Caenorhabditis elegans: one gene and its partner. The protein of the gene in region 1 interacts with the protein of each later gene in a pairwise test. Each region holds a gene or a part of one and is shown in the gene's direction. Other genes may lie near its edges.

Region 1 (3,164 bases):
AAAAATAAGATGTACCTGCAGAACATCTCTAGTCATAATAGAGAGCAAAGAGTTCTCAATATCCACGACAACTGATAGTCCTTCGTCGATCAATCCTGACAAGTAGTACAACGAAGACTCTAGGGCGTATACCTGAAATAATTATTTATTGAAAATATAGTGGCAATAGTGTACCTTCAGTGCCAATTCAGTCACAATCCTTTGTGATCTCGAATCGTCCGCTAAAGTTGTGCGATCATTCTGCCTACTCGGAGTTCGATTACACCAAATCGATAGTTCTCTAAGTGCTCTTCGAGCCATTCCAATTGTGGCGGCTGCGAATGGCATTCTACCACTACCGACCAGCTCCGATGCAATTTCGGAACCGTGTCCGGGTGTTCCAAGTAGATTTTTGTCTGTTACCAATGCAGTGAGCTCGATGCGCCCAACGTCAATTCCTTTCAGTCCGATTGTTTCGTCACGTGTAAATTGAATCTTGTCGGTGGTTCCCAGTTCAGCTTCATCGAGTAGAAAGCAGGTTTTCTCTCCGTTGTTCTGAAAATAAATGTTAATTTAAAGAGAACAGAAATTCCTACTAACATTTCCGAAAACGACGTAAAAGTTGGCATTGTGATGACCCATAACTCGGATGTTCTGACCATTTAACATTGATTTTCCACCAGGTCCAGCTGTTTGTTCACAGACTCCTCCATTCGTATCTTTTACAATTGCAACCGCTGGTCGAAGCTTTCCAGACCCAAGAATTCCTAAATACTTGGACTTTTGTTCATCAGATCCATAAATTGTCAAAATGTTTGCGACAAGAAGAGAAATGTGTGAAGTTGTGTATACATTCCAATCTACACTGAGTTCTTCGAAAACTTTCGACAAATCCTTATTACACATGCCGATGCCGTCGAAATATTTTCCAATAGCCAAGGAAAAGATTGCATTCGAGCGAAGAGCTTCTATTGTATCTGAAGCTAGTTTCCCTTCTTTTTCTATTAATTTCGAGTCAACTGATAATTCAAGTGATTTCCGCAACACATCCACAAACCCTTCAATATTACGCACATCATCTGAATCTGTGTATTCTGGGTAGATCATGAAGTCCTGGAATGATATGTTCGCATAAACTTATATTTGCAAAAATTCAAACCTTTTCAAACTTATTCATAGCGAAACCTCTCGACAAGCTCCTCTTCTCGATAGACGAAGTATTGTCGAGAGTTCGAATAGCAAATTTACTGAAAAAAATAATAGTTTCATTATTTCTGAAAAAACATTACTGAATAATACCTTTTCTCACTTATACCAGCCACTTCTTTTGATTTTGCTGCATCACTGAGACATCTCACATTGCATTTATGCAGTTTTTGTAATCGGATCAACGCCCGATGCATCTTAATTTGAGTTTTAAGCAAAGAAACAGCGCTGAAAAATTCAAAAATAATATGGCCGGGAAAATTGTTTAGGGTAAAAATCGAGTTTTCTCGGCCACGGCCACGAAGTATTAACGCGCTAATTTCAAATTTTGAAGTATCATTTAATCACGCCCAGTCTCGTGGTGGACCCGTCCGGAAAAATCAACGTGCCTTTAATCTCGCGCATCTGAGTCTCTACTTTTTACATGTTCTCTCACTTGTGAAGAGTACGGTATCACGATTTCTAGACGCTCTAGGTTTTATTTTTATAATTTTGATCTAATATTAATGCGCACTGATCTGAATTTCGCCGCCAATTATTTTAACATGATTTTTCCTTGTTGACAATTCATATTCATTTCATTTTTTCACATCTACGAGCTTTTTCTTATTATTTTAATTTTTATCGTTCTCTCTTAATTTCCTCTCTATCTTTTATTTATCAAAATCGAATATTTCTTGCAGATGCTTGCGATTCCCAAAACTCCAACCAGGAACATGAAAACACCTCAGGGGAATACAAGCGCCAGCAGACGTGAAGTGGACACATCGATGAGGAATCGGTTCGAGTTTGCCGGATCTTCGCTCAGAGACAGGATTGGGTCAATTCTATCCATGGATCAGACCCCACGTCCGGCAACTCGCGCAAATATCTTCATGGGACGGACACCGACACCGGCCAGGCACCTTCCGGAGAGCCGAAGAATGTTTGTGCCGGATTACACTTCAACGCCTGCACCTACGGCTCCTCGACAGGAATTTCGCTTCGAAGACTTGTCTCGGATCGTGGCACCTCCAATTGAGCAAACCTTCATTCAGCTGGATTCCGATGGAGAGCTCACTCTTCCCGCTGAATCATCAATTGCAGTGTCTCCACCACCGCGACCATCTTCTGAGCCTCTCCGCCATCTCAGCCAAGTCTCGCTGTCAGCTCGCCCAGCTTCAACGGAGCCTGTAAGAAGAGACGTACACTGGAGAGTGCATCCTTCGGCAAAGGTTTGTGTTTAAGAAACAATAAATGTGTTCTAATAAAATGTTTTCAGATCCGAAAATGCACAGTGCCGAAGACACCATCCTTCGCGAGGCCAACGAAGTCGTGGCTGAACCGCGTTAATCGCGAAGACTGATCGCCAATGCGATGATTCCTGTTAATTTATTTTATTTCTTCATTCTTTGTTCAATATTAACTACTAACCCGGTCATTTTTTTCTGTAAATAAAACCGGTTGCTCAGCTAATTGATTTCACATCGGCACCGACGGCACCGATACATTTTAAGAATTTTAAATCGCGTATTCGGTTCAAAACCTTGAATGCAGTGTTCATACGCAAACAGGAATTTGACATGTAACCCGGATTCGCTGTTTGTTTCGTGCACAATGTGGACACATTTCTTGTTGTCATCAGAAACATTCTCAGATAAACGTTTTCGCTTCTATTTAGAAGAAAAAAGCAGATATATTTAGAAATGGCGCTAGCTCCCAACACGACATAATTAGAAATGCTTTTTCATCTAAATAGCAGAGCTTTTTAACTAAATAGGTCTACTCTTTTCTAAATATAAGCGCATTTTTCTTCTAAATATGTCTACTTCTTCTAATTAGAAATACTTTCTTCTTCTAAATAGTTCTACTCTTTTCTAAATATAAGTGCGTTTTGCTTCTATTTAGACTCGGTTTTCGCCTCCTATATAGACTCGGAATTTTTAAAAGTGAATTTTTGGAAAATGTGATTTTGGATTCCGGAAAAAAAAAAAGATTTT
Region 2 (4,773 bases), on another chromosome or scaffold:
TTTTTATAGACTTGGTAGTTAAAAAATTAATCTGAATTCCGCGTATTTTGATATTTCAGAAAGCAAGCAAATGTATTTGTAGTTCGAATGAGCTTTTGAACATTCCAAAAATCATCGTTAGAAGGCTTTTTCTAAAAATGGAATCTCTGGAAATGTTGGAGTGGTGGATTGAAAGAGTTGATCCGAACTCTCTAAATGAGCTGTGTATTGCTCCTCATGGAGAATATCCACTTGATATTCCGTCCAAGATATTTGATCTTCCACATGTAAGTATGTTTATTTTTGAATATTTTTGGTACAATACATTTTCAGTTCCAAAATTGCAAAACACTGAGTATTATGGAGCACTGTTCTTTCTCAACCGACCAATTTCTAGCATTGTGTATTGCAATTCCAAATTTTTCTTTTTATTCGGACAGAATTGATGAAAATATAGTTGCTCATGCGATAAAGGTATTGAAAATCATCATGGAATGAAGAATTGTTATTTTTCAGAAACGTCTCAGCTTAAATGATCAATTTGTTGTCCTAGAATGGTTTTTCACTAAACACGTGAATGTTGAAAAAGTCACAGGAGATTTGAAGTGTACGAATTATGATAGAAAGTGAGCAGAAAACTGATGTTAGGCAAACTAGAATTAATTTCAGAGAGCGCTTTGATGTCAAAACTGAGTGCTTCGAGCCAGTTGATGTATACAGTGTTCCAGATGAGAATAACAAGAAAACGTCCTTGCTGGTTTTGAAAGATTCAACTGACAATTTCAAACCGTATAACATTGTTGCGTTTTCATAATTTTATGTTTTGAGATGCCGTCTTGGAAATATAGTGTTTTTGAAGCTAAATATCCTATCTCATGTATTAAATAAAATTGTTATAGTATCTCTTTCCATCCATTTTAATCGTCAAAGAAAGGCGTGTAAACCACGAAAACTTACCACTAATCCAAAAAGAGAAGCTGCCTTCTCTCCAAATGACGGTAAGACGTGGAAGACACGTGGTAAAAATGTATTACGTACGCCATAAAATATACGTATTAATCCATTTAAAATTAATTTTTCTTTTATTAACATCTGGCATCGTTTAACACACGTGCAAATGTTCTGTTACAAGCCCAAAAAGGTTCGTTGCTAATTTTTAAAACATTAATGTACAAAATTATTGCAGAAAGTACATTGAATAATAAATTTTTCAATTTTTAAAACCGTTTTTTAAATCAATGTCTCCGTGATATTTATGTTTGACCAGAAAATGTTTGATCGATGACAGCGCGCTGTTTTGTTTAGCACCCTTTTTCATCGGCGCGTAAATCGACACACGGTTCGCTGCGAGACCTGCGCCCGCCAAGCATCAACATTCGAATTTGCCGTCCGCCATTTTCGTCCTAAAATGACTTTTACCGATTCTTTTTCAAGTTTCCAGCTCGCCTCTTGTCATTTTTAGAAATAAAAACGTTTATTCAATTATTAATACTGAATATTTTAATTTTTGTGTTGCATTTCAGATGAATCGACTTCCCAACATTGCAAAACCCCCACAAAAGTCCAACCAAAGAAAGGAGAAGGCTCCACCAGAGGTTCCCGCTCTCATCGCCGACAAGGATCGTGGGACCTATTATGAGAAAGGACGATTTTTGGGCAAGGGAGGATTCGCTCACTGTTATGAGCTTACGAATCGAGCAACACGCGAGGTTGTCGCTGGAAAAGTGGTTCCGAAGTCGATGCTCGTCAAGCAATACCAGAGAGATAAGGTAGACAATGAACGAATCTTAGTTCAGTGCATATTACGATTTTTCAGATGACACAAGAGGTGCAGATTCATCGAGAGCTTGGACACATCAATATCGTGAAGTTATTCAACTTCTTCGAGGACAATCTCAACGTGTATATCACTTTGGAGTTATGTGCAAGACGGTCGCTGATGGAGTTGCACAAAAGAAGAAAGGCGGTCACCGAACCTGAAGCTCGTTATTTCACTCATCAAATTGTGGATGGCGTGCTGTATTTGCATGATCTGAACATCATTCATCGTGATATGAAGCTTGGAAATCTTTTCCTCAATGATGATCTAGTTGTCAAAATTGGAGATTTCGGATTAGCAACAACGGTCAACGGTGATGAGAGAAAGAAAACGTTGTGTGGAACGCCAAACTACATAGCTCCGGAGGTTTTGAACAAAGCTGGACACTCATTTGAAGTTGACATTTGGGCAGTTGGATGCATTCTGTACATTCTTCTTTTCGGACAACCACCATTCGAGTCTAAATCGCTTGAAGAGACATACTCACGCATTCGCCACAACAACTACACCATTCCGTCGATCGCAACACAACCAGCAGCAAGCCTAATCCGCAAGATGCTTGATCCTGAGCCAACACGTCGTCCGACTGCCAAGCAGGTAATTTCAATAGTTTTGAACTGGAGTGAAAATCATTTTAGTATTATCGGAGATTCGAGTTTCATCATTAGAAAATTTGTACTTTTGAATTTTATCGTGAACTTTTATTGAGAGATAGTTCACGTTCAGTTTGATTGCCCTTCGTTCTAATTAGTAAAGAGATCGAAAACAATTTTTAAAAAATCAGTTCGAATATTTAAATAAGTTATGAAATCTCTTCAACTCGGAATGAAAACCCTACAGGTTCAACGCGATGGCTTCTTCAAGTCAGGATTCATGCCGACTAGACTTCCAGTCTCCTGCCTCACTATGGTGCCAAAGTTCGGAGGACACGAAACTTCGATGATGGAGGAAAATGTTGCTCCAAGAGGGGTTGATGCTCGTTCACAACGCCCATTGAACGGAAGAGCTGGATTGTCTGCCCTCCCACAACACATCGTGTCGAACAATGCCGATCGTGAGCGTGCTCAACAACAAGCTGCAGAGGCGACTTTCCGGGAGCCCGAGGATGCATACCTTTCACAACTTTTCCACCAAGTTGCTGTGCTCTTAGAGCAGCGTATTCCAGGGGTAAGAATAAACAAGAGGTTTTTTTTAAATTAAAAGTTTGTTACAGCTGGAAGAAGAAGAAGCTGCTCTTGATGGTTATCAATCACCAGAGTGCCTCCCGGTTTTCTGGATTTCGAAATGGGTTGACTATTCGGACAAGTATGGCATCGGATATCAACTATGTGACAATTCCGTCGGAGTTCTCTTCAATGACAATTCTCGTATCATGCTTGATCAAGCTGGAAACGAGTTGACCTATATTGAGAAGAGCAACAAAGAGCACTACTTCTCGATGCACTCAGGTGAAATGCCTGGATTGCTCAACAAGAAAGTCACATTGCTTAAGTATTTTCGATCCTACATGAATGACCATTTGGTGAAAGCTGGAGAAGGATCTGAACAAAGAGCTGGTGATGACTTGGCTCGTTTACCAACGCTTCGAGTTTGGTTCAGAACCAAATCAGCAATTGTTTTGCACCTTTCCAATGGAACTGTTCAGATAAATTTCTTCAATGTAAGCAAATTCATAATTTAATGGAAACACCCAACAATATAATTTTCAGGATCATGTCAAGATGATGATGTGCCCATTAATGCAAGCAGTTACATTCATCGATCAAAACAAGCGTATGCTCACCTACAAGCTGAACAATCTTCAGCGCAATGGATGTCCAGAGGTTTGAATCGCCATTTCAGTATCAACAAATATAACGTATAATTTACAGAAATTCCTTCACCGACTGAAGTATGCGAAGACAATGATCGAAAGGTTGATGAGCGATGCTAACGTTGTATCCCAGAATCCAGCTCGTCAACCGGATATGCCACGGTCAATGGCAGCTGCTCGTTCAGCTTCGGCAGGATCACGAGGACCAAATCAAGCTGCATCGCACCTTCCCCAGTCGGCAAGTGGATCCAATATTCACCCACGTCGATAGATCCGTATGTGCTCTTTGCCACTTCCATGAATTTGCTTACATCTCCTGATTAATTCCAAGAAGTATTATTCTATACATTTAACCCGTACTCTTCATTTATTGTTGCTGTTTTTCATCGACCCTTTTAGTCCCATGTTTCAGCATCCAACATGTCTTTATTCCCCGTCCTCGATCTCCCGTAGCTCATTTCATTGTAAATACTGATGAGACCCGCTGTAGCCCTTTTTCATTCGTTTGTATTCATGGGCGAGGCGATTTTTATTTTGCGTTTTTATTTCTTTTTGCTAATTGAATCATCTTTTTTTGGTATTAGTCCCACGAAATAAAACGTACCGATGATTATTAAACTGTATTCTTCATTTTTCCAAACTTTCTCGACAATTTCATTTTTGGTAGATAGCAGCACATTGGGAAAAATCAAGTTGAGCTGCTCATCTGCCTCAACTTTCCATTTCAGAATTTTCGAAAAAGCGTGTATAATATTTACTGATTCCGAGACAATTATTTGAACATGATTGTTACAAAGATCACGGTCGCAAAGTAACAAATGTTCTGTTTAATTACTTGCCACTCTGAACAGTTTCCGTCACTTATTTTATATCCAAACAGGTTCGATTCCAAATAGTCTCAAATTATGCCAATGGGATCTGCTTTACTGTAACAGTTGGACATAAACTGTTATATGAAATCAAAAATACAATAGTTTAAATTGTTTTTGCTCTCTGCTTGAATTTTGGATTTCTAGAGATCTAGAGCAGAGCTGAGCAGCCGGCCAAAAAAATCGGCGATCGCCGATGAAATTTTTTTTTCGGCGATCGCCGATCACAAATTGCCAAAAAAAAATCGGCGATCGCCAATTGCCGATTGCCGATCAGTGTGCGTCTAATTTTT

What was found. The genes of interacting proteins can lie anywhere in the genome.
Region 2: the proteins of mesp-1 (region 1) and plk-1 interact in a two-hybrid assay, tested with the Caenorhabditis elegans proteins (2 studies listed by BioGRID, with this or other methods).

The regions. Positions count from the first base shown.
Region 1 is NC_003282.8:8,497,442-8,500,605, forward strand, and holds mesp-1 (MEiotic SPindle), read left to right. Parts: upstream 1-1,868; 5' UTR 1,869-1,901; coding exon 1,902-2,399; intron 2,400-2,446; coding exon 2,447-2,530; 3' UTR 2,531-2,635; downstream 2,636-3,164. Other genes in the region: acdh-13 (Acyl-CoA dehydrogenase family member 9, mitochondrial), read right to left, coding at 16-132, 175-534, 580-1,092, 1,139-1,226, 1,279-1,382.
Region 2 is NC_003281.10:8,099,846-8,104,618, forward strand, and holds plk-1 (Serine/threonine-protein kinase plk-1), read left to right. Parts: upstream 1-1,502; coding exon 1,503-1,748; intron 1,749-1,795; coding exon 1,796-2,395; intron 2,396-2,638; coding exon 2,639-2,965; intron 2,966-3,011; coding exon 3,012-3,458; intron 3,459-3,507; coding exon 3,508-3,621; intron 3,622-3,669; coding exon 3,670-3,882; 3' UTR 3,883-4,224; downstream 4,225-4,773. Other genes in the region: K06H7.1 (uncharacterized protein), read left to right, coding at 1-14, 60-266, 313-453, 496-605, 649-793. UniProt on the Caenorhabditis elegans protein: Required for oocyte nuclear envelope breakdown before entry of oocyte into spermatheca. In meiotic cells, required for spindle dynamics and probably for spindle attachment to the chromosomes. Zygotic role in the development of the germline and nerve cord.